Linked DNA regions of Lepisosteus oculatus. The protein of the gene in region 3 interacts with the protein of the main gene of each other region in a pairwise test. Links are inferred from orthologs where the notes say so. Each region holds a gene or a part of one and is shown on either strand. Other genes may lie near its edges. The genes, in order: zmat1, lonrf1, alas1 and dusp19a.

Evidence for each region.
Region 1: the proteins of alas1 (region 3) and zmat1 interact in a two-hybrid assay, tested with the Homo sapiens proteins (2 studies listed by BioGRID). The two-hybrid records come from large-scale screens. The link is inferred for Lepisosteus oculatus from reciprocal best matches to the Homo sapiens genes ALAS1 and ZMAT1.
Region 2: the proteins of alas1 (region 3) and lonrf1 interact in binary tests that used the Homo sapiens proteins (3 or more experiments, as listed by UniProt). The two-hybrid records come from large-scale screens. The link is inferred for Lepisosteus oculatus from reciprocal best matches to the Homo sapiens genes ALAS1 and LONRF1.
Region 4: the proteins of alas1 (region 3) and dusp19a interact in a two-hybrid assay, tested with the Homo sapiens proteins (3 studies listed by BioGRID and IntAct). The two-hybrid records come from large-scale screens. The link is inferred for Lepisosteus oculatus from reciprocal best matches to the Homo sapiens genes ALAS1 and DUSP19.

What each region holds. Positions count from the first base shown.
Region 1 is NC_090698.1:74,562,829-74,570,504, forward strand, and holds the start of zmat1 (zinc finger matrin-type protein 1), read right to left. Parts: upstream 3,017-7,676; 5' UTR 2,991-3,016; coding exon 2,858-2,990; intron 2,454-2,857; exon of another isoform or gene 2,373-2,453; intron 1-2,372.
Region 2 is NC_090696.1:77,520,757-77,527,643, reverse strand, and holds the start of lonrf1 (LON peptidase N-terminal domain and RING finger protein 1), read right to left. Parts: upstream 3,007-6,887; 5' UTR 2,816-3,006; coding exon 2,179-2,815; intron 1-2,178.
Region 3 is NC_090699.1:61,335,513-61,343,019, reverse strand, and holds the start of alas1 (5-aminolevulinate synthase, non-specific, mitochondrial), read left to right. Parts: upstream 1-4,500; 5' UTR 4,501-4,533; coding exon 4,534-4,604; intron 4,605-5,599; coding exon 5,600-5,814; intron 5,815-6,186; coding exon 6,187-6,372; intron 6,373-6,595; coding exon 6,596-6,736; intron 6,737-6,998; coding exon 6,999-7,221; intron 7,222-7,324; coding exon 7,325-7,507.
Region 4 is NC_090707.1:18,462,058-18,469,714, reverse strand, and holds the start of dusp19a (dual specificity protein phosphatase 19), read right to left. Parts: upstream 3,021-7,657; 5' UTR 2,866-3,020; coding exon 2,643-2,865; intron 1,912-2,642; coding exon 1,865-1,911; intron 1,762-1,864; coding exon 1,609-1,761; intron 1-1,608. Other genes in the region: nckap1 (nck-associated protein 1), read left to right, coding at 5,022-5,129.

The DNA.
Region 1 (7,676 bases), on a different chromosome or scaffold from region 3:
TGCTGCTTAGTTTGGTGAACAATCTTTAATTCACACTGATCAGTCTTCAGAAACCTGATCTCAGCTTGCAGAGAGAAGACTATATTCAAAATCCTCAAAGGCACTGTAAAAGTCTATTCAGGGGAATGAACACTGAAACATGAACCAGAATGCCCAAGAAGACAATATGTAGAAGTGCTTAAAAAACTGAGAACAGGAGGTATTTCTTTATACAGAGTTGTGGAAGCATGGAACAAGCTGCCCAGCCATGTTGTTGACGCTGATACCCTTGCTTCTTGCACAAATCAGCTGGATGAGATAATGGGATTAATTATTAACTACTAAATGGGCCAAACTTTAACCTCATTTCTATCCTTTCTCATGTCCCTATGTTCTAGTTTCTAATCTGTCACAATTACCAGTCAGATCTAAATGGCTCCATGTCAGCTGGTCCTCATTAACATCACGTCAGATGTTAGATGCAGAGCGCCTCCACACAGGGTGACTGCTGAAATGTGTAAACAAAAGCCTGCTTGACCCGGGACTCTGCCTCGGGCCCTGTCACCTCTCGTCCATGAGAAGAGCATCCAAACTGAACCGAGCCCAGGCCCCAGCGCGGTGCCGTCCTGCTGCACGACAGTGGAGGTGTCATGGAAAGATAAAGGGTGACAAACAGCAGGCGCCTGACAAGAAGCGAGGAAACTGAGGACACCTTAGCACAAGTAAGAACTGCGAGGCCGTCCGACAGACGGGCTCAATGAGCAGAACGGCCCTGTCTTACTTTGTCATGTTCTGGAGAATGACGAAGCGCAACCTAACGGAAGTATCAGATTCCAGTGTTCATCGAAACTACCGGCAGTCAGGTCAAAAACAAAACAGAACCGCGCGATCCGAGGATGGACGCGATGCAGTATCAGTGGAAACTGTCGTAACTCCTATACCTCCAGTCTGGGAGCTACATGAACTTAGTTTGAAATACTACCTGTGTCTCCGCATGTTAAACATCGAAAACTCGGGAGGCAAAAATGGCATGCCGGGACCCTCTGCTCTCCTCTCCCTGGCCTTCCCAGACACGGATGTGGAGCTGTCCTGTGTGGCTCCGTGCCTGGAGACCCCGAGGGGGAATCGGGAGGGGCCACTGATAAGTGGGGTGAAGAACATTTACTATTATTGTATTTGATTCACGATGTTTGGAAAATTCAAATGCAAAACTAACTCAGCTAAATCAGATGCACATGGGGACGAGCTCCAGCCCATTCGGCGTCTCAAGGTCTGTTTGAAAAAGAAACACAGGGGCGTCCAGTCCTGGTCCAGGAGGGGGCGCTGCGTCTAAAGCAGGGGCGTCCAGTCCTGGTCCAGGAGGGGGCGCTGCGCTGCGCCTGCGGTGTGTGTGTATGTCAGGAGTCAGGCTGGCTCTATCACACTGGTCCAGGAGGGGGCGCTGCGCTGCGCCTGCAGGGCTCCAAGGGCTGATTAAAGCCACAGCACCCGCAGAGCTCAGAGAAGCTGTGGCCCTGGCCCAGTTAAACCAGTAAGCAGCTGGTTTATGTCACCGAGAGCAGAGTGGGAATGACACCTCCCAGGAGCAGGCCTGGGCACCCCTGGGTGGAGCAGCATGCACACTCCCCCTGGACAGGCCACCGCCCCCGAACCCCCAGCCCTCCTGGCCCAGCGGGGTCTCTCGAAGAGCTCGGGGACGAGCCGAAGAGAACCCGCGGGAAGCGTTACCCGAGAGCCTGCGCCCAGCCGGCCAGGGCGCGGGGAAGCCCACACGCTGCCCCTCACCGCTCACAGCCTGCACACACCCCTCGTGACCAACAAGACTGCGGAGGAGACGTCTTCCCCCGGGCGGGCGGGCTTCACACCCAGCCGGGGCTCCGGGCTCGGGCGGAGGGCCGCCCTGCCCCTTTAGGCTCCAAGTGTGCTGCTGGCATCGACGGTCCAGTTCGGACAGTCACTCGGAGAACACAAACGCGTGATCGCACACCAGCTACTTCCTTCTGCCTGCAGCCGGGGGCTCGGTTCCGACCCACGAGCAGCAGCGCCGGGAACCCTCATTCGGAACCGTGATCAATGCGCGGGCATTTCTTCACGGAGCTCAGGGGGAGACCCGGGGCACCCCAGTGAAGCTCTGGGATTTAGGCAGGCACCCCAAAAACCGCCTCATGAACACCTCGTGCGAGGACTTCAAAACTTCAACACCGGGCTGCCGGCACCTTCCTGGAGTCAGGAGAACAGACGAACTAGCGAAAACTGGTCTTTTCTTCCCCCTCCCCCAGAGCTCAAACTTTCGTCGCACCGCGCCGGTCAGGGTGCCCCCGGCAGGGCCGGATCCAGCCGAGTCCGGAACCGAACCGGACCCCAGCCCAGCGCCGCCCCCACCAGTTACCGACCCGCTGGGTCACCTGACCCCGTCCTGAGGTGATACTGTCGAGGGCGCGTACGACTGGCTTCGGTGAAGTTTTTAACGTCGTTATGTCGACCTGGTACCGCCTGCAGGGGATGACAGGAAGGCCGTGGGCACTTCTCACCCACAGACACTGAACCGACCCCCCCCGGACCGCAGCCCCGCGTCCAGATTGTGTGGGTTTGCGCGACAGACAACAGCAGCACCAGCAGCAACAACAAACATTTCTTTCCATTTTAAAGAAAAAATGAAGAGAAATCGGACCCACTCAATCTACGCAGGGCTCGGGGAGAAACGGGACCGGCTGGCCTCTGCAGTGTCTGTGGAGAAACCGCGGCGCCCGAGGGAGAAGACTCCACACTCCCCTGCGAGTCTCTCCACCCACTCCCACGGGCGGCCTGGTCCGCGGCCGTGGGGCCGCCACTGATCAAAGCTTTATTTCCTCCACTTTCACGTTCTCTCTGAACTCACCTCGGCTCTGGGCAATATTGGTGTTTTGTGTGTTTTTATGGGCCTCGGCTCCCGCTACGGAGCTCGAGTGAGAGTGACTCTGCTGCGCCAGCGCCTCCGCCAGCTGCGGGATGAAGGTGATCCCCGGCTCCATCTTTACTGCTCTGTCCTGCAGGGACACGACCGCCTGGCTGGCCGCCGCCGCAGAGCACGGTGCCCCCTGCTGGCTGGAGGGTGCAGCGCACCCTGATTCAGCTCGGTTCAATTCAACAAGCTTTATCGGCATGAGCACTGAATTGTAACGCCCTCGCCTGGTGGTGAGGAGGAAGCGCCCCTAGGCGCTCGTAGTACCGCTGGGCATGCTGGGAGTGGTAGCCGGGAAGAGTCTGAGGGTCAGCACGATGACCAGCGGCTGACCCTGCCTGTGTAAATAATGTCCTAGTAATTCTAGTACCCTGTGTAGTCCTGTAAAAGAAGAGTGTGTTGTTAGGTAATTACCACCCTAAATGTGTGTACGTGTTCGTCAGACTCCTCATGTTTGTGTAGATCCTGTGTTTGGTTTTGGTGTGGTTGTAAAATAAAGCCAGTGCTTGGTTAATCGCGTCTCCACTGTTCTTTAGTTCTGAGAAAGAACCTGCAATACGCTACATTGGTGTCAGAAGCGGGCAGAATGAACAACTCGTGGCAGACACTACCCGATTCCGTAAAGCGCCGGCTGACGCTGGAAGACGCAGAACCCATCGGCGGCGCACATAAGGAGCCTGAGCAACTCCTGGGTGCGACAGGTGGCCACAGCCCTTACCAGGGCTACCCAGTAGTGGTCCCGCCAGTGGAATTGGGGCGGCCGCCCCGGAGAGAGGATGCCCTCCCTGCCGGAGCCGATCAGCGATTCCCACACCCATCGGCGCGGGTGCGACCAGGTCGCTACGATGGTGAGGCGCCTTGGGAGACCTATAAGGCGCAGTTCCAGCTCGCGGCCCGGACGAATGGCTGGAGCCGGGCGGAAATGGCCGGCCACCTGGCGGCGGCGCTGGAAGGAGCGGCCTGCCAGGTGCTCCTGGACGTCCCGGAGGAGGACAGAGGCGACTACACGGCGCTGGCAGCAGCCCTCCAGCTGCGCTTCGGTGTAGAGGAGGCGCCGGACTTGATGCGGGAGAGGCTGGCCCTGCGGCGGCGCCGACCAGGAGAGCGACTGGGCCCGGTCGCCGCGGATGTCATGTTCCTCGCCCGCCGAGGATACCCAACTTTCCCCCGGGAGGCGCAGCGGGAGATGGCTCTCCAGGCCTTTCTCAAGGCCCTCTCGCCCGAGGAGCTGCGGCGCCACGTGCAGCTGGCCGCGCCAACATCGCTGGAGCAGGCCTTGGCCCTTGCTACACGGGCTGAGGTAGTGTTCGGGGTGACTGGCAGCGCCAGCAGACGCAGTGCGCCCTGCCGGCTGACCGAGGCGGCGACGGAGGAATCCAGCGAGGGGGAAGAGGAGCCAGCCCGTGCAGCGACCGCCGCGGAACAGCCCCGCACGCTGATTTGCGTCCGCTGCGGGAAAAGAGGACACCGAGCCCGGGTCTGCCGGGCACCCGAACCTCGCTCTCCCCGATCGGCGTCGGGAAACGGGAACGGGGCGGCTCAGCGCGGGGAAGGCCGTCCTTGAACACCTCAACCCCCGCTCCGGAGAGCGCTGTAAAAACCGGCGCCCCTCACGCCACCGTGGGGCGAGTCGGCTGTAGCCGGGGCCTGTACCTCCACTGCCGGATTGAGGACCAACCCTGCCTGGCCCTACTCGACACCGGTTCATCAGTGACCCTACTTCGGCCGGGCGTCCTCCCCGACACCGAGGGCACCAACCCCCCAGGATGGGAGGCCTCCAGCCTGCGGCTGAGGACCGTGACGGGACAGCTCGCTGCAGTCCGGGGGAAACGGGTGCTTGCCTTCCGTCTGGGTGCAGCGACGGTGCGCCACCCCTGCTACCTTGCACCCATCCAGGAGGACTGCATTCTGGGGCTGGACCTACTGCAGCGAGTGGGGGCCAGGTTGGACTTGGACCGGCAGGAGTTGGTGTGGCAGGGGGAGCGACTGCACCTGGTGGAGGGCAGGTCCGGCGAGGGCCGAGGGACGCGGGCTTGCCGGAGCCGGGGGAACAAGAGGCAGCGGCGGCGGCGGCGGCGTCAGTCGCCGGGGCAGACCAGGCCTGCGAGCCGGGGAGCGAGCGTGCCGGATCCTGCCCCTGAGTCGGCCGGGGGGCCAGACAAGGCGGCGGCGGGGGCCGAGCGTTGCGTGGAAGCGAAGCGTGCCGTTGAGGACCTCTTCCAGCGGAGCTGCGAGGGCCTCGATCAGGACCAGCGGCAGCGGCTCCAGCAGCTACTCGCCCAGAACGAAGACCTCTTTGCGGCGAGGGATGAGGACTGCACCCGCACTGCCCTGGTCCAACACGAGATCAACACCGGCGACGCTCGGCCCATCCGCATCCCACCAGGACGCATGGTCCACGCCAAGCGGACCGCCGCCGAGGAAAAGATCCGGGAGATGGCCGCAGCGGGGGTGATTGAGCCCTCCGCGAGCCCGTGGTCGGCGCCAGCCGTACTGGTTAAAAAAAAAGACGGCTCGTGGAGGTTCTGCGTCAACTACCGCAAGCTGAATGAGGTCACCCGGAAAGATTCCTACCCCCTGCCGAGGATAGATGACGCCCTGGACTACATCACCGGGTCGACCTGGTTCAGCTCCCTGGACCTCCGCTGCGGCTACTGGCAGGTACCGCTTGCTCCCGATGCTCGCCCGAAGACGGCCTTTTCCATCGGCCAGGGCCTCTGGCAGTTTACTGTCATGCCTTTTGGCCTGTGCAATGCCCCGGCGACGTTCGAGAGGCTGATGGAGAGGGTGCTGGCATCGGTTCCGCGGAACCAGTGCGTGTTATATCTGGACGATCTGCTGGTTCATGCACGGAGTTTTGACCAGGCCTTGACGAACCTCCAGGCGGTGCTGGCCTGCATCCGCCGTGCTGGCCTGAGGCTCAACCCCCGCAAGTGCGAGCTCCTGCGGCGGGAGGTGACCTTCCTGGGACATGTTGTTGGACCGCGAGGGGTGGCTACGGACCCAGGTAAGGTCGCCGCAGTGAGGGGCTGGCCGACTCCACGCACCGTCGCGGAGCTCCGCAGCTTTCTGGGGTTGGCCTCGTACTATCGGAGGTTCGTCCGGGACTTTGCCAGCATCGCCGCCCCGCTGCACCGCCTCACCGACAAGGGCCGCCGTTTTGACTGGGACTCGGGCTGTGAGACTGCCTTTGGCCGGTTGCGCGAAGCTCTGGTGGGGGCCCCCGTGCTGGCCTACCCCGACCCGCGGTTGCCGTATATTCTCGACACCGACGCGAGTGACTCGGGGGTGGGGGCGGTGTTGGCGCAGGAGGGGCCGGATGGGGAGCGCGTAGTGGCTTACTATAGCCGGGCTCTGACTAGGCCTGAGCGGAACTACTGCGTGACCCGTCGCGAGCTGCTGGCGGTGATGGCGGCGGTCCACCACTTCAGGCCGTACCTGTTCGGGACCCGGTTCCGGCTGAGGACCGACCATGCGTCCCTCACCTGGCTGCTCCACTTTAAGGAGCCAGAGGGACAGATGGCGCGATGGATAGAGATCCTGCAGGAGTACGACTTCACTGTCGTGCACCGTGCGGGGTCTCGCCATCTCAATGCCGACGCTCTCTCGCGGCGCCCCTGCGAGGCCGCGGACTGCCATCACTGCGCCCGGCGGGAGCAGCGTGAGGAGGCTGTCCGCACCGTGGCGGGGGTGAGCGCCGCGGCCACGGCCCGGGAGGGGCCGCTGGGGGTGGGCCTGCCAGACCTGGCGCAGCGTCAGGCAGCTGATCCTGACGTGGGCCCGGTGCTCCGCTGGAGGGCAGCAGGAGTGCGGCCTACACGAGAGGAGCTCGCCCCGCACCCGAAGTCCGTCAAGGCCCTCTGCGCCCTGTGGGAGGCCTTGGAGGTAAAGGACGGGGTGCTGCGCCGGGGGTGGCGGGTACCCTCCAGTGGCGAGGTACGGTGGCAGCTGGTGGTGCCTCGGTCGCTCCGCGGGGCGGTGCTCCGAGCGGTGCACGGCCAACCGGGTGTGGGGCACTTCGGCGGTAAAAAAACCCTGCAGCGTCTCCGAGGCCATTTTTATTGGGGTCTTTGCCACCGGGACGTGGAGCGGTACTGCCGAACGTGTGCGGTGTGCGTGGCGCAGAAGGGTCCCCCCGAGCGCTCTCGGGCCCCCCTCCAACAACACCAGGTGGGGGCTCCTATGGAGCGGGTGGGAGTGGACGTTTTGGGCCCGTTTCCGCGCACCGAGGCCGGGAACCGCTACGTCTTGGTGGCTATGGATTACTTTACGAAGTGGCCGGAGGCCTACGCCCTCCCGGACCAGAGTGCCCCCACGGTGGCCGATGCACTGCTGGAGGGGATGTTTGCCAGGCTGGGGGTGCCGGAGGAGTTACACAGTGACCAGGGGCGTAACTTCGAGTCCCAGGTCTTCGCCAGAGTGTGCCAGCGCCTGGGGATTACTAAGACGCGGACCACCCCGCTGCATCCCCAGAGCGACGGGTTGGTAGAGCGGTTTAATCGGACGCTCGCCACCCAGCTGGCCACCCTGGTGTCCCGGCACCAACGGGACTGGGACCGCCACCTCCCCCTTGCGCTCTGGGCGTATCGGACCGCGGTCCAGGAATCCACCGGGTGCACCCCGGCCTCGCTCATGCTGGGCCGGGAAATGCGAACACCGGTGGACCTGGTCTTCGGCCCGCCGCCCGGAGACGGGTCGGCACCGCCGGCTGGACCGGACTACGAGTGGGACCTGCGGCAGCGGATGCAGCGGGTGC
Region 2 (6,887 bases), on a different chromosome or scaffold from region 3:
GGCTCTCACACCCCAGAACTGCGACACGCCGGGAGAGGACTATGGAAGTCTTCCAGCGTGTTCCCAGAACTCATCTTCACAGATTAGCCCGACACCTGCAATTCATCAGGACTACACCGCCTCACATCCACAGAGGCATCGCCAGGGTGTTTACTGTCAATTCATCAGCCATGACTAAGGAGTGGAACTGCTTCGCGCAGGAACTGCCCGGCTGCCCAGATAGATACTTTATCATCCACATCTGTGGAAACTTGTCAACTGTTGTAATACTTGTTTTCAATTATATGATGACTGCCGCACTTTGACCAAGTGACAGTTGACCATTACAAGCTATTGCACAAACTGTGATGATTCTGTGCAGGCAGTCTCGCACAAAGCCATCTGCTAAATATCAACATCAACAGTTGTGTTGGAAACAAACAATAGTGCTCCAGTGTTGTGACAGTGCAAAAATGCAGAAGAAACCGAGATTCAGCCTGACTTCTGGCATCACAGCCTGTCCTTAGAACTTCATTCTACTGTAAAACAGGCGCCGTCCTTCGGATGAGATGTAAAACCGAGGTCCTGACTCTCTGTGGTCATTAAAAATCCCAGGGCGCTTCTCGAAAAGAGTAGGGGTGTAACCCCGGCGTCCTGGCCAAATTTCCCATTGGCCTTTATCAATCATGGCCTCCTAATAATCCCCATCTATGAATTGGCTTCATTACTCTGCTCTCCTCCCCACTGCACATTGGTGGTGGCGGAGGGGAGTACCATTACCTGTAAAGCGCTTTGAGTGGACTGTCCAGAAAAGCGCTATATAAGTGTAAGCAATTATTATTTTGTTGCACGCTGTTATAAGACCAAAACACTTCATTTAATTATTAACTTCAATTTCCTGTGACAAACACCAGTGATAAAATACCACATATGCTTGCACAACCCTTACCTTTCCATACAGATTTGCAGTACTTCCTCCCTGTATTCTCTCAATACTGTATGCAACATCTGTCGTTTGTTTTTAGCCAGATAAAACTTACTGGCCACAATAATCATGTGCAAGCAGATCTGGGGGACCAGCTTGAAATAATGCATCTGTCCCACTGAAAGCTGACGGACACCAGTAAAACAATACATCTTAAAGCTCCCTCTGACAAACTAAACATGAGTAACGGGGGGCCCTGCCTCAAGAGGAGAAAGAGACACAAGGCACAGAGACAACAAGTCTGGCCTTCGGGGTTCAGGTCGGGCTGCATGAAACCTAGAAAGCAGGAAGCTAACCATGAGGATGGTGCAAAAAACTACTAGAAATAGGATACCGACATCAGGGCCCCACGCTCTAGACAGGGTGACCCCCCTCCCTCTGAGCTCTAGACAGGGTGACCCCTCCCTGCAGCGGGGCTCTGCACTCTGGACAGGGTGACCCTCCTCCCTCTGAGCTCTAGACAGGGTGACCCTCCTCCCTCTGAGCTCTAGACAGGGTGACGCCCGTGTTCCCAGTCCTCTGCCCTGGCCCGTGTCCACCCCGTGCTCTTCCACCTGCGAGCCTCTCTACACTCCAGCTCGCTGGATTTCACACGCGGCAGCTGCAGTCCGCTCATCCGAGCCCCCACTGGAGACACCGTCCCCCCCAGAGCGGCCCCACGCACAGAAGCACGGCGTTCGCGCCCCTCCTGCCAGCCGCAGCGGCGACCACGTCCCGTGTGGCAGCCGTGGTCCGGGAAAGCGCTTCACCACACCTCACACCACGTCATCACCGTCCCCACCCACTCCACGGGAAACGTGTTGTTTCCCACCCCGCACCCAAGCAGCTGCCGGGAAACACACGGGCACCCATGCACTCCGCACACGAGTGTGTTTGCCCCCCCCCGCGGGTTATAAAACCACCTCTCTCGGGTCACGACCCCGCTTACACAACAGCACACCCCCGCCGCTGCCGCGCATGCGCCGCCGGAGTTACACAACGCGGGGTCAGCGCGGGGTCACCCGTGGGGAGAGACGGGGTGCAGTTTCTGGGGCTCGGTCAGCAGGTCTCCCTCGCACCCCCCATCCCAGGGCCACGACACCGTCCCCCCCCCTTCTCGCCCCGAGAAGCGACACACTCCCCCCAACCCCAGATCCGCGAACAGGCCCCAGTAACAACAACACCACCACCACCACCAGCGCCAGTGTGAGCCGAGAGCAGCCCCTTGAGCTCACCTGCCTTGAGGCCGCCGCTGGACACGGCCAGGGCCTCCTCGTACCGCCGCCGCCCGCACAGCCCCTCAATCTCCGCGCACAGCCGGGCCCGGCTCGGCCCGCCCGGGACCCACTTCTCCAGGACGTGGCAGAGCGCCACGTTGGTGCGGGGCGCCCCGCCGTCGCCCCGCCGGGCCGCCAGCCTCTCGGCGCAGCGCCGGCACCGGGCCACCACCTCCCGCTGCAGGCACCGGCGGCAGTACGTGTGGCCGCAGGCGGCGGTCACCGGCTCGGAGAGGAGCCGGCCGCAGCCGGGACAGTCCAGGGGCTCGGCGGCGGGGCTGGCGCTGCGCTCCCCGGCCGCCTCCGCCTTCTTGAAGTTCCGCAGGACGCAGCCCACCAGCGCGCCCAGCTGCTCCGGCCGGCCGGAGCCGTACCTCAGCGCCAGGGCGAACGCGTCCAGGGCCTCCTTGAGCCGGTCCTGCGCCGCCAGCTCCTCGGCCCGGCGGAGGACCAGCCCCTGCCGGTGCGCCCGGTCCGCGGCCGCCGGGCCGGCGAGGAGGAGGAGAGAGGGTCCCGGCCGCCGCCTCCTGCTGCTGCCGCCGCCGCCGCTGCTCTCTCCCAGCGCCTCGTCCGCCGCCGGGTTCAGGACTGACATGCTCAGAGCGGGGTGAGCGCCTTACGAGCGTCCGCAGGGCTGTGGCCCGGGAGGTTACCGGGACACGTACGCGGAGACAGCAGCACACCTCGGCGGATCGCGCTGGCCGGCCTCCCGGCGCCGGCCCGTTATATAAAAACGCCGTCACGTGGTCCGCGGGGCGGCGCTGTGATTGGCTGCCGGGGGGAGCCCTGGTTACAAAACCTCGCCGTGCGGGTTTCATAACAACCGGGGGGGAGGAGGAGGAAGAAGAAGAAGAAGAAGAAGAAGAAGAAAGGGTGGGGGGGGAGTGCAGAGGTTCTGGGGTACCCTGTCCGGCTTGCTCGGCGTCCCTCACCCCCTCCCCCCCCCGACTCCGTCCACTGTGGCTCAGCTGTCACAGCACTGCCAGGAAGGCAGAGGAGGGGGGCTGGCAGCCTTCATGTTCAAGTTGGAAGAGCCTGGTGCTGCCAGTGTTGACAAAAACTGTTATATCACCAGCTGATAAGAGCTGCCCTGCACAATTACTGCTCACCCTGCCCTGTTCCACCCCCCTGTATTTTTCACAATGTCTGTAGAAACCTGTAGAGTAATGTGACTCCCAAGCCTGCCTTGTTTTCTGAGTTGTTTAATTTCAGATACATGGGGCGCTTGTTGGCAGGGCCCATGAAAGACAGCGTTGCCACAGCAGATGCGATTAACGCGCAGCGTCTACGGTACAGCCCACGTGACTGCGCATTTACATGCCTCACGTGAAGCTTCATGGTGGAATTTGACATGGACCCGCCTTCGAAATGTTGTAAACCTCAGCTCTGAAGATATCGGCAAGCTTTCCGCACCAGCTGACCCCGAGGAAGGCCTGTGCCATCATTAAAGACTCGGCTCATATTCTTCTTCGGTCTTTTGAACTTTTGCCTTCGGGAAGACATTTTTGCTGCCCACTGTGCAGGACAAAATGGAAGGGAATAGAAGTCCTATCAGCACGATGTCTGTTGGACAGAACCTCCCCTACAAATGTGCGTGTACTGTACTAGTCCCTTCCCAAATACTACACACTGTTACTTCCAGTTACTTCTGTGGATGGTTTGCTGTTTTTATTGATCTGTTCTGGTTTTTGGTTTGTTTTTGTAGTGTATTAATGTATTGTAGGGCTCTCGGGCTCACGTGGGTATGCGCCCTCGCTGCCGCCACAGGTTGGCCCCCCACCGCTGGGGACCCGAACCCGGGTCTCCAGCGTCACTCAGCAGGGACCCAGCCAGCTGAGCCAAAGGGAGATCTCCCGTCAGCCCGGCGGCTGCGGTCCCTGCTATTCACAGGGAATGGCGGTGACGTCACCGCGCTGGCAAGCCGGGTCGCACAACCTGCCATGTCGGCCGTCTGCGTTACAGTACGGCGCACCGCTTGCTGCGTTAAAAGAGCCCCCCTGCCCCTTTTGAATAAATATTAATATAAAGCTCTTTGTCCCAGATCAGCTGAGCAGACCAGATTGAAGCTCAGTATTTCAACCTTGCCAAGAGAGCATGCTCTTCTGTAGTCTTTAGGGAACTCAGATTTTCTGAGTGAAGAATCCCTTGGTTAAAATCGGCCTCTCCTCTTTAGTGCTTGCATTTTAGAACAGGGAGATAGGCTTCCATTTATTCTGGCCTGTTATCGTTAATTCTGGGTTTTCATAACAAGGTAAGATATAACTGTGGGAAATATTCTATTAAGTTTAGAAGGCAGCCTCTTATTTGTGGCCTTTGTAGGCATTACATTATAGACTTGTTAACAGTCTGGGATTCTCTGGGAGATCAGAATGTTAAGCCACTGGGATGCCTTCTTTGTAAATTTGCACATAGGGAAACTTGTGTGTAGTATGTCTATGTAATGTGTTGCTTAGTGTCTGTATTCCCTGTGTGTCGCTCTTAATAAATATGTGTATAACCAAGTGTGCCTGAGTTATTAGTCTTTTCAACCAAAGCTATGCCAGAGAACAAAAAAATTAATTAAACTATTCCAACCTCTCTGGTGTATCCTTGCCAAAATCTTCACAAGTTGGGGATTCTGATTAATTAACTAATTGATTTATCCACTTGGTCACTTAATGATTTTCTCCATTTTCAACCACCCCCCCATTTGTAACAGTATTATACTTTAAAATAATAAAACAATAACATTAAAAATAATGATATGATTATTAGATCTGAAGTTTACTTTATTCGGTTTTAAATGTATTTTTCCAGTGGTGGCAGAGTCATGGGGACACCTAGTGGTAGATGCTTGTTCGTTCGGAGATGGTTTGCGGTTTTGATGGACTGAGGAAATCCTATCATTCAGAAAAACAAAAAAGAAAAGAGTTAATTATAACATTTTGTATGGTCTGTTATGTAATAATAGGAGTGCATGTCTTTATTTACTGGATTCAGTCGCATTCTTTGAAATACAATATGCGGGATGAGAAAACATTCCAAATGAAATTGTTTCTGAAGAAGGAAATATAAAATGATTAATAAATGTAAGTCAGATGGAATTTGTCAGGGAGGCCTGAATGTGTTGTCACTAGTCACTGGGTACTAGTCAGCTTGTGCACCTGCTCATGTCTGGGTTGGTGTCTAGGTCTGCTTGTGACTGTTATTATTACTATTCTCATTTCTTAGTATTGGATCTTAATCGGTTGCACCTTCTGCAGACAATGAGCAGGTGAAAACATTGAGCATGAAGATATCTGTTTGTCTTTTTCACTGAAGTAAATGTTGATGTTTGGTCAAAGTGAAAGCGTCTTTCAGGAGGGGTTCTAGGTATAATTCATAGATTAAATATGCTAATGCTTATATGTAGTACTGTGATAAGTTATACTATTGATCACTTCTATACACACTGCTGTGCATAGTTCGAGACATTCTGAATTGTTCTGCTTTTTTCATTCAAAGTTCTTCCTTCGTTATGCAGAAGCACACTGAAATATTACCTATTTTGTTTAAGCTAACAGTTAATCTTAATAGTTCTGTGTTTTTGTAGTGCAAAAAAGCAACCCTTTAATTTAATTTTTTTCGTTCTGATTGATCAATGTGGTTCATTAGCTCCTAAAACACTTCGTAGTGCCTGTCCATTTCCAGAATCTAGGTCTACCTTGAGTTTTGACCCTGTGTTTGAAGATCTAATCAGTGTGAATTAAACACTGCTAAATTAAACATCTGGTTTAACATCAACCAAGCTAATGTGTATGAATAACAATCAAAGTTGTCATAATAGAAGTAAACCAGCTGAGGCTTTGAGAAAAGTAGCGATGCTCATGAGGCATTCTTTATATTGCAACTGCCGACTGTTCCTGAGACGTCTAAAACCTTTGTGCAGCAGTGTAAAAGGTGCATGCACATCACTTCTGTCAGCAGACCTTATTCATTACAAGCTGGTATTATGCAGTTAAAATATACAAAGAAAATACTAGAAGCAGGTTTGCCGTTGGAGGGCAGGGCGTGCTTTTTACATGCAGTTCTAGTAGGTGATATTCCTCTGTGTGACTCTAGAGGGAGCCCTTGAGCATGCAATTGCAGTAGTGTTCTGGGAATGAAAACATGGACAACAGCCCAAGGAGAACCAACCGCTATCGAGCTATTAATCACCATTTACATGCATTTCATTCTGTGATGTAAGTTTGTTTCTTAACCCTTTTCTGCACCTTCTTGGATGCAAATCTGCTTTTGCGATGCAAATGGCTATATGACACTGCTGAGTGTTTTGAGGGTGAGCGGAACTTTTCTCCCTCTTGATTTACTGGACTGTATTGTCTTTCCCATTTCCTTCTACTGCGACACGCTGCCTCAGCGCTGGGCTGTTTCTTCTTCCTTCCTGAGTTTCTTTTATTCAGCCTCATCTAAAAATATGGGGACCCGTTTGTGAAGGTCTGTTAGCAGTTTGAAATTGAAGACAAACATCCTGGCCATTCAGAAATAACACCTATTGTTCGACACCTGCCCTGTGTAAATAGGTCCACTGTTGACATCGACAGATGGTAATCCTAATCCATACACACAGGAAGTCAAAAACTGCTTTTCTGGATATATTGGCCTCTCTGTCTTGTTCCAACACATAGTAATAACAATAGAACAGCATG
Region 3 (7,507 bases):
ATTTTATAAAACCTAAGAATGAGCGCTCCTAAAACGAAGTAGCTGTGTCTATTTTAAGTAGCTGTTTCACACTGCCCCCTATTGCATGAACGGTATCATTATAAATGTCATATTCTTTTCTAAACTATTTCCTGTTTTCATTTGGAAAAAATCATGGCGTTCAGGTTGACTTTACCCATCATTCTGAAATACATATTTCCAATTCTGTCTCTAAAAGTCCCACAGCTCCCCTTTTTTGTTAAGTTCACATAATTTAAGTAACAACAGGATGAATTGGAGGTCTTGTTAGGTTGCTATTTGTAGCATTTTTTTTTACTTTCAGCATTATTATCTTAATCTTAATCTTGCCATCTTAGTTGTTGATTTCTTTACAGAAAGAACTTAGTGAGTGAGAATCAGTAATGGCTTTTCTGAAAAGCTACATTTTTCCACAGGCTCACACCAAGGATGTGCAGGTGTGACCCTGATCAGGTATGAGCTCCAAGCAGGTCAGGTGAGCCTGATCAGGTGAGCCTGGTCAGTACCTGGATGGGAGACCTCCTGGGAAAAACTAAGGTTGCTGCTGGAAGACAGTAGGGGGCGCTCACTCTGCGGTTTATGTGGGTCCTAACGTTCCAATATAGCGATGGGGACACTATACTGTAAAAAGGCACTGTCCTTCTGATGAGACCTTAAACCAAGATCCTGACTCTCTGTGGTCATTAAAAGTCCCAGGGCGTTCCTCAAAAGGAGTAGGAGTGTAACCCTGGTGTCCTGGCCAAATTTCTCATTAGCCCCTACCAAGCCTTCTAATACTCCCCATCTATGAACTGGCTTCATCACTCTGCTCTCCTCCCCACTGAGAGCTGATGTGTGGTGAGCGTTCTGGCGCACTATGGGTGCCGTCACAGCATCCAGGTGGATGCTGCACATTGGTGGTGGTGGAGGGGAGTCCCCATTACCAAAAAAGCGCTATATAAGTGATTGGATGAGTTACCACCACTCAAGACACACAATTACATTTGCAGATAACTCTGTTACCGTTAGTTTGTTGCAACTAGATGAGTGGGGCCATGGGCCAGTTGTGCATGAGTTTGCCACTTGGTGTGAACAAAGCTATTTGCAGTAGAAAACAAAGACATGGCTATTGATTTCAGGAAGAACCCTCAGACCCCACTCAAACCTGCATCAGGGGCAAATCAGTGGATCTGGGGGATAAATATAAGTATTTAGGAAGCGTTCTGGACTGCAGGTTAAATTTTGAGACAAGCAACAATTACATTTTCAAAAAAGGGTAACAGTGTTTATTTTTCCTTGAGAACGCTAATAATTTATTGTTAATCATGCATTACCAGTCTTTTATTTTATTCTGCTTTAACATTTGCCATGATCTGCTGAGGAGTAAGGACAAACTGGGGAGTACTTTCAGACCTATGTCAGAAAGTCATTGATGCCGATCTTTCGGCCCTATCCCATGTCTGTTACTTACAAGACTTGAGAAAACCATATCCCATCCTAGAAGACCCTTCACAATATTTGTTTAATGGATTATAACTACTCCCCTTAGAATGCAGATACAGATTTCCCAATTTAAAAAACAAACAGGTTCAAGTTTCTCATTTTGACCTGCCACCATAACCTTGCTCATGATTCTCTTGCTCATATTTATGTCTATCGTATGTGTGTGTTTTCTTTTTGTTGTCACCTGATTTAAAACTAATTGCCCTTTGTGGATAATAAAGAGTGTCTTACTCTCTCTAGGTGTAGAGGGATTAAAGAGCAAGCAGCAGTATTTCTGGTTTTATTCTGAAATTCACAGTGGATCACTGGACAGAAACTAAAATGGGCAATACAGTTTTAGTTAAAATCTGAGCAGCTGAGTTCTTAACATGCTGTAACTTGTAAACTTGTAACTTTTTTTGGATACACCAGCAAGCGCCGAATTCTTCTAAAGCTGGTAAAAAAAAAACAAAATAAGACTTGGTTTTCTGCAACAGACTGGGACAACTATGTATATGGATGTTAAGCATGATGTTACAAAGCCGGAAAAAAAAACCTTCCCAACACTGAACATGAGTTTGAAGCTTAATGATCAGGCTGTAAACCCAGTAATACAGAACTGTTGAATAAATCAATCAAACGATTTTAAGTATTTTAAGACTTTCTTATGAGCGTATTCTAAATGGCAGATATAATTTAATAAACCGTACAGCGTATTTGGTAGGAAATTCTCATTGCAATCCCCAGAGGGCGATCTTTGCCTAAAATAAATGTTTCAAATGAAGTTTCCGTCGGTATTAAACGCCAGTGTTCTTTCGACAAGCTTCCTGTCCCCACCACCCCTAGCAACAATTTTCTATACAAATTTATATTTTACTTTCAACCGTGCTGTGACGGAACAGGCGAGAGTTTAAGACACTGGCTGTCAATATTAATGGCACAAATCTTTCCTAACCGAACTGAAAACGACCACCGTCGCCCTAAGGCTCAGGAAGGCTGTTGCGTAGTGACGCAGAAATCTGGGTCAAGGCGGGGGCCGGCAGCTGAGCTCGCCGCTCTCGCGAGAGTGACGATCGCGCAGTTCCCTTAAAGCCGGTTGCGTGGCGATGCCCTTACGTTCGTCCTCAGTGCAGGGCAACAGATATCATCTTTTCCGGCGGTACAGCCTATTCAAAATAACAAGCCTCCTTCCCTTAAAAAAATAAGTTTTTCATTGTCATAGACACACGGGAAAAGACATACAGTTTAGCCTGAAGATCTCAGAGGTAAGAAAGGTAGGCGTTTTGATTTGTTAGATTTAATGTGGAGTTACTGTACTGTACTGTATTCTTTTCCGACTTGAAGGCCATTATGAACTTCTGTTTCCTGCTTCGTAAATGATTCATATATATATATAACGCCTTGGTAGCTTGTCATAAATGTGTAGTTTATGACTTTTTATGCATAAGTGTTTAAGAAAATAAAAGAATTTTGCTTATAGTCCGTATGTGGTACACGACTATTTACATGTGGTTAAATTATTCTTTAAAGAGTACTTAGTTTGTAAATAGGTTTTTTTGGGGGTAAATATTTTATCATTAAATCCATCAGTTGTATCCATTCGGCGTGCTGTTTTGTTAAATCACAGGGGGTCTCTGGCATCATAAATAGTTTTTTTAGCACCAGATTTATCAATATTCGGTGTTCAGTCTGTCTTGTTTTTTAACGTTTATATTTAGTCCTTTGTATAGCAAGTCGTACAACAGTACACTCCTACCTCGGATTTGAACCTGGGACCCCCTTGGTCACTGCACATGGCTGATGCACACAGGGAGTTTGGGAATAATCTGAAAGATCTAAAAGATACCACTTGGATATATTTACCACTTTTTTACTTATGTGAACTTGACCCGTAACGCATTAGAATTTGTAGATGTAGGTTATTAAAGGAATTTCTTTAACCAGCTGTTCTCTCAGCTTCACACCTATGTAGGAGTGACTTAGTAGCAGTGTCTAATCCACTGCTGTAATGGTCATTGGCCTGACATGCCCTGCCCAGTCCAGTTTTTCAGGTACCCCAGGAATTAATTTGACGTACCTCCAGGGACATGGTTGTGCGTGACCCTTTTTTTCCCTGTGATCAGAGGTGTCAGATGACAGTGATCCTTCCATACACAAGCCTACTTTATGTTTTTAAAAAAGAGACTGCGCTTTATTGAACTAGAATATGCAGGACTGAGAGCGCATCTTGAAGTTTGTGCCCTCTCAGTGGCCACAACGGTTTTCAGCTCATGTAGGTGCAGATATAAGTGTGTGGTATACCTGGGTATTATAATCGAGCCCTTAATTTGCCCATATCCCTCACACAAGAGACCCATACACCATACTGTAATTACAGTGCCTATTACTTTTGTGCAAATCTGTGGCAAATTACACTGTTTTTGTTTGTGGTTTCACTATGGATGTAAGGTGTACACAACAAGGAGCAGAGCACTTCCTTGCTTGGTATAAACCAAAATTTCACTTCCTTATCTTAAACATCCTTTTCTCATTATAGAAAGGTTAAGACTTTTTTTTCATATACCTTTTCCTGTTAGATGATGTGAAATTTGCTATGGTTGTATACATCTATGACTTAAAAATCTTTATCAGTTTATATGTTTTATATTTAATAATGCCTGTGAACTAGCTATGGTTATTGTTGGTGTTTTCTTAAATTTCCCCTTTAGCATTGAGTTTTAGGCAGTTTTTATAGGAAAATCGTTCCTTGAGATTTTTTCTACCTTTAAATTAAGAATTTCTTTCCTGTTTTGTTTTCTCTTTTAAACGGTTTGTCACATCATGTAAATATTGTTAATGTAGTCCTGGATTGTGGTTGTAGTCCAACTATGTCATTGTTTTTGTATCTGATACTTTTTGGTGTACTTTTGTGATTTCATAGTCCCTCCCAGAAACTTTCTGATCTAAGGTATGTCGAAACAGTTGATTTCTCAAGAAGCTTCTTACGTAGAGTTAAGTAGGTGGAGCTTTGTCATAGTTTTGCTTTGGGGGTTTAAAAGCTTGAGTAACAGACTGATGCGGCACCATTTACAAATTTTAGGAAAAAAGCAAAAAGCCATCAGCAGTATTAAAATGTTCCTTCCCAGGTATGTAAAATTTAAATTACATAGTATGATTTTTCTTGAAGCGTCTGTTTTTTGTATTTTAGCATTTGGGATTTCTAAGATACTCTATCCTGGTGTCCCTCCAAGCTGTCAGGTCCAGTGGTTGTTATGGGAATGTCAGTAGCAGCTGATACAAGGGTGGACTGCATCCATTTTTTGCAGTTTTTCTGTATTTGTGACAGAAGCCTGGATATTGCCATGTTCCGTACTCTGTTTGTGTTGGGCTCTCTAAAAAACGAATGGGAAACCTTCAGGTAGAACAGGGATGCAGAAAGCCTATCTTTTGGAAGACAAAATCCTGTTTCTGGAATATTTATTTTATCTGACACCAGGATAAAATAATTTTATCCTGTTAAAAGTTTGCCGTTTTGTTGTTACAGCATATTTTGTTTAAAATGAGTAGATCTCTGTCAAAAGATTTTTTCTTACTTTTTGGATGTATGGATGTATGTGGAGCACAGTAAAGATGTCTGGTGTCCAGCGGTCTTACAGAAGATCAAGAACATTTTGATACATGGGTTGACTGATGTGTCTTACAAATGATTAATTTCAGACTTAAATGCTTGAGTCAGGCATCCTGTGTTTTAAAGACTGGTAATTGTACTTACAATGAAAATGTAAATTATGTATGCGATTTTAGGTTTCTTATAAAATGTGAAGTATCTACATTAGCATTTGACACACAACTGTACTGTCTTTCTGGAATTATAAAAGGAGCAGTTAAGCTTTGTAAATCCTGTTCTTGTGATCAGCAGCTGAAGTGATGTTGTTTATGGTTCTTGAAGGCTAGTATGTTACAGTGTGGTTTGGGAATTAGTTTCGATAAGTTTAATAGAAGAGTGCGTGACTCTGTTCTGGTCACGGTGGCAAGGGATGTTTGACCTCTGGTTACTTGCGTGTTCTGTAGCAGTTTTCCGTTTTGCTGGTCTCGAATTAGACTGAAACTGCCATGGTTAATTATTTTTTTGGTATTTCAGGTTGAGAGCATCCAAGATGGACACCATCATTCGCCGCTGTCCCTTCCTGTCGCGGGTCCCGCAGACGTTCCTCCAGAAAGCTGGCAAGTCCCTGGTTTTCTATGCCCAGAAATGTCCTGTGATGATGGATCTGGCATCTAGGCCCTTTGCTCGTGCCCTTTCCACGTCTGCTGCGAAGTGCCAGGAGACCAAGGAAACCTCTCCAACAGATTCAGGTGAGCAGTTGATGTTGGTGGCAGTGTGTTTGTGTGTGAAACTACTGTGTACATTAACACATTTTAGTTATTTATATTGCATTTGAAGGTCATAGGGCAGTTTCTTTTGCAAGATGAAGCTGAAACAAATCATTCTGTGACGCATTCCAGTTGGTTACACTTCAGTTGTGAAGGGGGATAAAAAAATAGAAAATGACATGTAGTGAAATTGACGAGTGAGTGATCATTCTAGATTATCTAGAATATCTAGATTATCAGCGTTTGTTTAGTGGAAATGTGAATGTCCGTGCGGGGGACCGTGTAAGGGTAAAATCTAGAATGTAAGCTTTTTGCGGAGCTGTTTACGTGAGATTTGCATGTGTTTAAATTTAGCCTCCGGGCAGCCTCCCAAGCAACCCAGTCTGCCTCCAGGCCACCCCGTGCCCCCAGCGTGCCAGGCAGCTGCTTCCAAGTGCCCTTTTCTTGCTGCCGAGATGGGGCAGGGAAACAGCAGTGTGTTCCGGCAGGCCAGCGTGGAGCTGCAGGAGGATGTGCAGGAGATGCATGCTGTCCGGAAAGGTGAGGGTTCAAGTCGCATCACTGATTTCTATTGTTCTCTTAACTTATGCTCAGCGTATTTAATGCAGTCAGAAATTAAATAAAGATCTGCTTGATTGAGTGCCTAATGCAGTATAACTTGCCTCACCTTTGTTTGGAGGTATTTTGGCTTTGGTTCTACGTACCTGGTGCTGACAATTGGGGTTTTTAATTTTAATCGTACAAGTATTTTTTTTCTGCGCAGAGTTGGCTGAATCCCCTGTAAACCCAACTGTGGTCAACATCACCAAGGCGGATGGGGAGGACCAGAGCAGTCTCCTGAAGAATTTACTGAAGCAACGTCCCACCAGGGTCTCCCACCTTCTGCAGGATAACATGCCCAAATGTAAGCAAAACTATCCGATAGCGAATCGTCGATCATAATGTAATACTTATTTGTCACGCAACATGTCTGATCCGTCTTCTTGACTTTTATGATCACCTCTGAAATGTTGCCATTAATTGTTACTCAACAGCTATTGCAGATGTTAAATATAGAGAACTTTGGAAATGTTGCCTTTAAAAAGTTAGATGTTGCAAAAGGTGCATGATAGTCATTTCCTAACAACATTTTCTTCTGTCCCCCCCCCCCCCCCCCCCCTCCGCAGCAGTTTCTACTTTCCATTATGACAAGTTCTTTGAAAAGAAAATCGAGGCCAAGAAGAACGATCACACTTACCGGGTGTTCAAAACGGTGAATAGGAGAGCAGAGACTTTTCCGATGGCGGATGATTACTCTGGTTCGCAGGCCTCGAAGAAAGAGGTCTCTGTGTGGTGCAGCAATGATTACTTGGGCATGAGCCGGCACCCCCGTGTTGTTCGCTCCATCATGTGAGTGCTCCTAGATCTTGTCGGGAAAGATGAATGCATGTCCTTACGATTTGCTGATAAACATGAAAGTGCAAAGCACTAATAAGGATATTTTTATCCACAGGGATACTTTACGGCAGCATGGCGCTGGAGCGGGAGGAACCCGTAACATCTCTGGAACGAGCAAATTTCATGTAGATTTGGAGCATGAGTTAGCAGATTTGCATGGCAAAGATGCAGCGCTGCTTTTCTCCTCTTGCTTTGTGGCTAATGATTCAACGCTTTTTACATTGGCCAAAATGCTGCC
Region 4 (7,657 bases), on a different chromosome or scaffold from region 3:
ATTAAAAGGTAGAACCTTCATGAGAGGCATGAAGTAAGATCCAGAACCATATACAAATCGTGAAAATACCTTCATACTGCATCTACGTTTAGTAGATGTGTTGGTCAAAAACATGCATCCATCCATTTTTAACCCCTTTTTCCAATTCAGGATCACAGGAAAACCTATGCCTATGCCAGCAAGCATATTGTATTCCCTAATTACAGCAAAAAATGATACATAGCCATATTATTAAATAAAAATGAAGTTTCTCTCCCTGTCTTTGTTTGTTAGAGTTGGTAAATGTAAAGGAAATCATCACTGGTTATCTTCTCTTAATTTTCTTTAACCTCTTTAATGAAGTTGCATTTGTTTCCTCATAGACTTGGCACTTACTATACAGTATATTAAGAAAAGGTGTTTTCAACACATATGTTAGCTGAAAACACAATTTCATTGAAATAGATTATATTTTATTATACCTAAAAGGACTTGAAAAAAATTAGCCTTTAGAAAACCTCTACATTTGCAAGAGAACAATAAGATGACACACTAGTGGAGGGGAGCCCCCATTACCTGTAAAGCGCTTTGAGTGGAGTGTCCAGAAAAGCGCTATATAAGTGTAAGACATTATTATTCATTATTACTAGTATTCCATGTAATTATAATCAATAAAACATGATGTCAGAATTAATTGGATTGCAAACGAAAATGGTGACAGATCAATTTTAAGTGTAAAGTGGAAACTTATTTTTAATACATGATGTAATTATATACTGTACCTCCGTGAGTTCCTTTAATGCAATAGAGTAAGGCAGCTGATTACCATGACACTGGTTTGGCAACAAGGCTGCATGAGATACAATGGCCTGTAGAGATATGATCGTTATCTACCTACTGAATAATGGATCATGAAAACTAGCACTGCCATGTTGATATCAGGTGCAAGGAATGCTCTGCACCAGCAGACTGCGGGGTATCAAATAGGCAGTCTCCTAAAACTGACCACTCAGGAAATTACTGCAAAGATTTAGTTAACGAGATTATCAGATTTCTTCATTAAATACATTAACAAGTGGCATGGTGGCACAGTGGTTAACACAGCTACTTCACTGCCCGGGACCCTGGTTCAATTCCGGACCTGGCATCCTGCTGTATCTGCGTGGGGTGTTCTTCCCGCATTCACATGCATTTTCTCTGGGGGCTCCGGTTTCCTCCCACAGTCCAAAAACAAACTGATAGGTCAATTGATGTCTGGGACAATGGGCCTTACAGTAGGTGTGAGTGTGTGCGTGTCTGTGTCAGTCTGCCTTGTACCTGTTGCTTGCTGGGATAGGATCTGGCTCTCCTGCAACCCTGAGGCAATTAGAAAATGGATGGATGTATGGAAACACGCTGACAGGTCTCCTAGAATTTTTTTAATACATGATATACTCCTTACTTGCTTTTTAACTAATCTAGCAGTATGATTAGATGAACAAATTGTTACATACTTTCTTAAATTAAAATAAATGAAATATAACTTAAGTTTGTGAAAAGAAATTACAATCTAGAGATCTATCAAAGGGGACACCCTTTTGTTTCGTAAAGTAACATACTATTTTAATGCAACAAAAGTATAAGGCCTACCTGTGCCTTGACCTGCTCTATAAACTCTGAACATTCCTGGAAATATGAGGTAATGACAGTCTCTGGAAGATCCAGTATGGAAAGCTGCTTATAAACAAACTGATCTTGAAAAGTGTTTTCAACACCATATGCAACATTCAATATGTGTGTAACCTGAAAAAGATCAACAGTAAATGTTACTGAAAATACACTCATCGAAGGCCAATGTGTAAAGAAATTTAAATATCATACAGCAGACACTGAAAATAAATAATACCTTAAATTTCTTTAATATATCAAAGTCCTGGGCAACATCTTGTGAGGCTAGAACAAAAAAGAACACTGACATCAATGTTTTAGTTAATAATAGTTGTCATTTTCACACTAATACTGCAGTTATTATTCTAGTGTTTTAACACTAGAAGGGAAGATGGTTGGCTTATTACAGGAACCTGAGAGAGTGGACATGTATGCTACTTAGCGTAACTCATCCATCCATATTAAGTGCTTGAACAGAACTACAGTTTTCTTTAAATAATCTAAAATCAGAGCCCCGCCTCAAAAGACAAGCATTTTACAGAGCATGTTTTAAATGTTGCATCTCATATGCAATTCACAAGCTTCTCTGATAAAGGGGACTGTATTAAAAACAAGTGTAGAAAGTACCATAAAAAACATTTTTTAACTATTCATTGATAAAGGACTCATTTAAAATTAATACTTTAAGCATATACCAAAGTTCATAACCAAAAACACAACACTGAAATTAAACATCAATGTATCTTAATATACAGTAACTGATTTGTGCTTCCAGAAGCGTTTCTTACTTGCAGTGCCTTGTTTGCTATCCCTGAAGTCAACAGCTGCTCTAACTTCTTAAAATAATAAGGCATTTCCCCCATCCATAGTAAAACTTCAGAACGCTTAAGCTAAATGGAATTGAAAACTTAACACGTGGTTCAAAAATGAATTCTGACAGCTTTGCTGCTAAGTGCAATTTTTTTTTCTTAAATCTGTGTGAATGACATTTGACAATGCAAAACTATTTGTCTCACCAAGCAGTAACCAAGGTTTGACGATACCGACTTGGAGATCCAAACTGAGATCCTGAACATATCCACAAGCACCTTCGGGTTGTACGGTTTCTTCAACCACCTGCACAGTGGAGTCTTTCCACGTTTCTATTATTCTTTTCCCAGTTAAAGTCGTTACCCTGGTACATTGCTTTTTCAGTGCCGACTTTGAAAAAGCCTTTATTTCTTGAGCAAGCGAATGCATTACATGTGTGTTACAGGAACAGTTCAAAGCAGAAAAAGTCTACAGTAACTCAGCTGTCCACTTGCCGCAATGGGATTCCAATACGCTCTTGTACTTCACCGAAGATCTCATCACTTGCTATCAACTGCCTGAAAACCGAGAAGAAACCATCTGTAACCTAGATATATTTTTGGGAGCATGTAGTACTTTAAAACATCGCCACCTGTAGGTGCGGAAGTCTATGGCAGCGTACACCCCGGTTATCACCAATTGCTGCGTACTGTACTTCATTCACAGAAGAAACAGGCTAGTGTTCATTCCCAAGAACTGACTTCCTAGGCGTCACGTTTACTGAAAATGGATGGCTGGATAATTCCGAGCTTCCTCTTAGAAGAAAAACGTGTTATTTTTTTAGAAAACACAAAACACATTAAACGACCCCTCTATTAGAATCACGTTATCTTTCGTCATATTTTAAAATATTAAACATTATATTAGCACACAAATAATTCAAGTGTAATGTAAATATACCTAGACAGAATGGGTAAAACTGATTAATTTAGTGGTGAATATAAAATGAAAAAAAAAGTATCAAAATCAAGGACGCGATGAAAACAGTCTTTTTGTATTAATATATCAATATTTTTTTTATTTTTAGTGGAGATAGCACAGATAAAAAACTTGAAATAAAGGATATCCCACATAGATTTTATAAATCTATTCTATTTATTATATTCTATTGTTATAAACTTAAATATTATAAACTTCAAATATACTCAGGAATATTGGATGACATATACCATATTTTATGTTTAAACTAGATATATTTCGCTGTTTTTGTGATATACTACTGTTGTTATATACAACTGCATATTGTTTTTGTGAGACATGAGGCATTGTAAAAGTATTCACACTCTTCTAATGATATAGATATGAGAAAATAAAGCAGGAAGTAATGTACAGTAATGTACATGTATTTTGATATGAATTTGATAATGTACATTATCACATGATTGGAGATCATGGCGAGTACATAAAGTGTTATCCCTTGTAATGTCTGAAAAGGGTGCCCACCAGATGAGAGACCAGCATCATGAAAAATGCAGTTATTATTTAAATAGGGTCAAATAATCCCTGTGTTTTTTTGGAAAACTACGTGTTTATGATGCTTGAGTATTTGCATTAAATTAATTACTTTGTGCACCTTAATAAATTAGGTTTTCCATAGCGGTGTGTGTGGGGGGTATGTACTTAAAGTAACTTCAATTTTAGATTCTTGTTTGCAGTTTTTAGTATTTATTATATTGATATATTCACAATTAAGTTTATTTATGTACAATATTTAAATCCCTGATCCCTGGGTTCAATTCTGGACCTGGGTTGCTATCTGTGTGGAGTTTGTATGTTCTGTTTATGTGTTTGCATGGTTTCCTGGTGTGAGTCTGTGCGTTCCCTGCAATGGACTAGCATCCTACAGTATCTTAGATGTGTTCTGCCTTATACCCATTGCCTGCTGGTATAGATTCCAGCTCATCCATAACTCTGTATAAACCCTGTATTGGATAAAGTGGTTAGAAAATGCTTAAAAAGGTGTATGCATAACTTGACCCATGATAAAGAATTCAATAAAAAATATGATAATGGTAAGTCTGTAAAGCAGTCTTCTACTGACATTTAGGAAAATAAAGTGCCTCGGAGTTTCAGTAGTTGCTTTGCTCAGGATAAACGCGTATTGTGTTGGTGGAAAACAGAACATCTCCCAGAGAAGAAGCCAATGTAACGGACACAAGCACCACAGTCAGCGTATAAATAATCCCTACTGAAATTAAGAAGTAGTGGGCCATTTTAAAATTCGAATCATTATCTGCGGTATGAAAACACTGTGCTAGTAACAGGCTGTCAATTTGGACCACAGAGGCGGAAATCAGTGCAATGGGAGTCACGTGACATGCGTCGGTGTTGCAGGAAACGGCCTCGTTCTGAGAGTCAGGGCAACACCTAGAGAAAACAGGGAGACAGCGGAGGGCAGAGCGGGGGGGAGTTTTGCGAAGCTGTTTATCCGTAATATGGGAAGAAAATAACACTAAGACGCTCGGGGTCATAATAGGTCCGAATCACACACTACACAGCGAAGGTTTTACGGCGTGCTCCGTTTTGTGAAACACTAAGCAAGCAGCATGTCGAGGGGTGTGCTGCAGCCAAGCCAGCAGAAGCTGGCGGAGAAACTGACCATCCTCAACGACAGGGGAATCGGGATGCTCACCCGCATTTATAACATCAAAAAGGTAAGGTGGCGTTATAATGCACAGGGTGCTTGTTTTCGGGGGGGTCGCAGTCCTTACGGTAAAGTGTTCTGTGAGCATCATTGTTTCCTAGACGTTTGGAAGCCATAGCTGGCATTGCAACATGACTCTGCAGAGCCTGGGAATGGGGATATGGACAGGAAGAATGCACCCAAGGCCTGGAATGGCATGTAACACAAGCAGTGTACTGAAAAGAGGAAATTACTTCAATTCTTGTTATTGGCGGCCAGTCTGTGAATTAAATCTGGCAGATCTTTGTTTTTGGTTTTTTTTTTTCACCTGCTGGCAGAGTGTTTTCATTCTCCGCGGTATGGTGTTTAAAACGCGAGCTTAAAAGCCCCTTCGCTGTTTTGTAGTACATAGCGAGCTGTGTAGCACGTCAGCATGTAGAAGAATGGTTGGCGTTTCCAGTTGTTGTGAAGCTTTGGAGCGATGGGCAGCGAGAGTGAAACAACTTGTTTGCACCGAGACCGCAGCGTGAGACATCGCGACATAATTGTTTCTCGCTGTGTGGTTGTGTGATAGTTTTGATTGGTAAGCTCATCACGGCAATGTAGCATTAATGTGGGCTCCATAAAAAAAAAATGGACGGTAACATTTTAACTTGTCAGTTTATTTGTATAAAAATTGACATTGCCCTTCGTTGGTGATTTTAGTGCCCTAAGCCGTATTGGTGGAGAGCTGACAGCGGAGGAAAGCGTTAGACTGCGTCCTGTTTTTGTTAAATTTCATGGCTGGCAGTAGGTGACAGATTTTTTAAATCGCTCGAGTTATATATTAGTGCAAGAGGAATCAATTAATAAAATGTACACTTAACCGTGTATTTTTTTAAAGCTGTAGTTTACCCATAGATTCTTAACAATGCACCTCAATATTTTGTATCAGTGTATTTTGGAAAGCTGCTGAATTATAAAATAAGAATTGATTTAACGCCTTATAGCATTTCTGGATTAAATACCATTGGAAAAAATGCATGAAATACAGGAAATATTTATTAAGCTTTGTGGGCCGTTTCTATATTTAACATGAATATTACTCAATACTTTTAATTGAAAAACAAAACAAAAAGCACTATAATCATATAAATGGCGTAGGGCTTAAAGGAAGATAATTTACATTTGATAGAAGAGGAAGACAGACATACATCAGGTAATACTTCTATCCCGCTTAATGTGAGTGAATCAGCACATATGTAGGGTGTTGGTTTTTTTATGTCTGGAAACTTGCAGAAACTTCAGGAATACACCTGTATTGTATTGTAGTGTCCTATTTGTTTTTGTATTTCTTTTTTGGCCCATAAGTGTTTTTCCCTAATTTGTCCAGTTTTAGTGTCAAAACCTAATTTCTAACTTCTTTGCAGAACAAAGCCAGGAATTTTAGTTTTGACATGTCTGGTTTAAATCATCAGAATAAAAGTATAAAATACATGAATGAGGTAAAAGCTAATGTTCCTCTACAGATCCTCTAGGGGGAAAACGTGTCCCTGTTAACTGCAATTTACAGAAAAGAGTACATATCCTAGCAGGTTCTGTTGTGTGCATTTGTTTGTGGTCATGTGAAGTGGACCAAAATGTATTTTAAAAGGGTGTGATTGAAACAACTTATCTAAAGATAGCCTACATGTACAGAGATATTTTGTGTGTTTTCATTGTAATGTTTTCATTATTTTTGGCACTTGTAATCTATATGAATAATCAATGTGGTCTTTTTTCTATTGTTTGGTCAGAAGTTATTTTTCTTAATATTATGTATTGTTTGTCGAAAAAGTAGGCACATATTTAATGTTCAGTATAACAAAATAAAGCATAGATCCAGATATTTACCAGTCATCTTTTGCAACATTGTTTTAGATATGAGGTTGATTTTTTTTAATAGTCACATTTAGTATAGTACTCCACATCTTACTCTTACTGGAATGCAAATGGTCAAAAGACTACATAAAGCAAAGTGAGATGTTTTGTGAGTTAAAGGCTTTTGCGTACATAGGCTACCTATATGCATAAAGGTTAAAAAAAATCTTCTTTGGTCTTGCTGTTTGATTGATAAGTTAAAAAACTGAATGTCTGAAGCTTATGCCATGCCAAAAGAAACAGCACATTTCCTTGTTTTATTTACCTTAGTAATGTTATTGGTTGACATATTCTGCCATTTTGGGCACCATACTGTGTCAACTAGTAGACAGCTGCAGATTTGGATAATCCACAAGCATCACAGACACTGTATGCAAGCTTCATGCAGAAATCACATAATTGTAGCACATTTTCCAGCCAAAAGGGATCCAAGCTAATAGAACACATTAGGCAATCCATGTTATGCTTATTTTTCAGATTGTCAGTTTTGAATTTCTTGATATTGACTTTGAGAGCTTTCCTAATTTTTTAAATTTCCGGTTTATGCGTATTGAATAAGGTCTTGATTAAAAATTAGGAAAATTAAAAAAAAAAATACGTTTTTTCAAATATGTAAGGACAAACACCAAAAACAGTACTTTTGTTTAATACCTTGCTCAT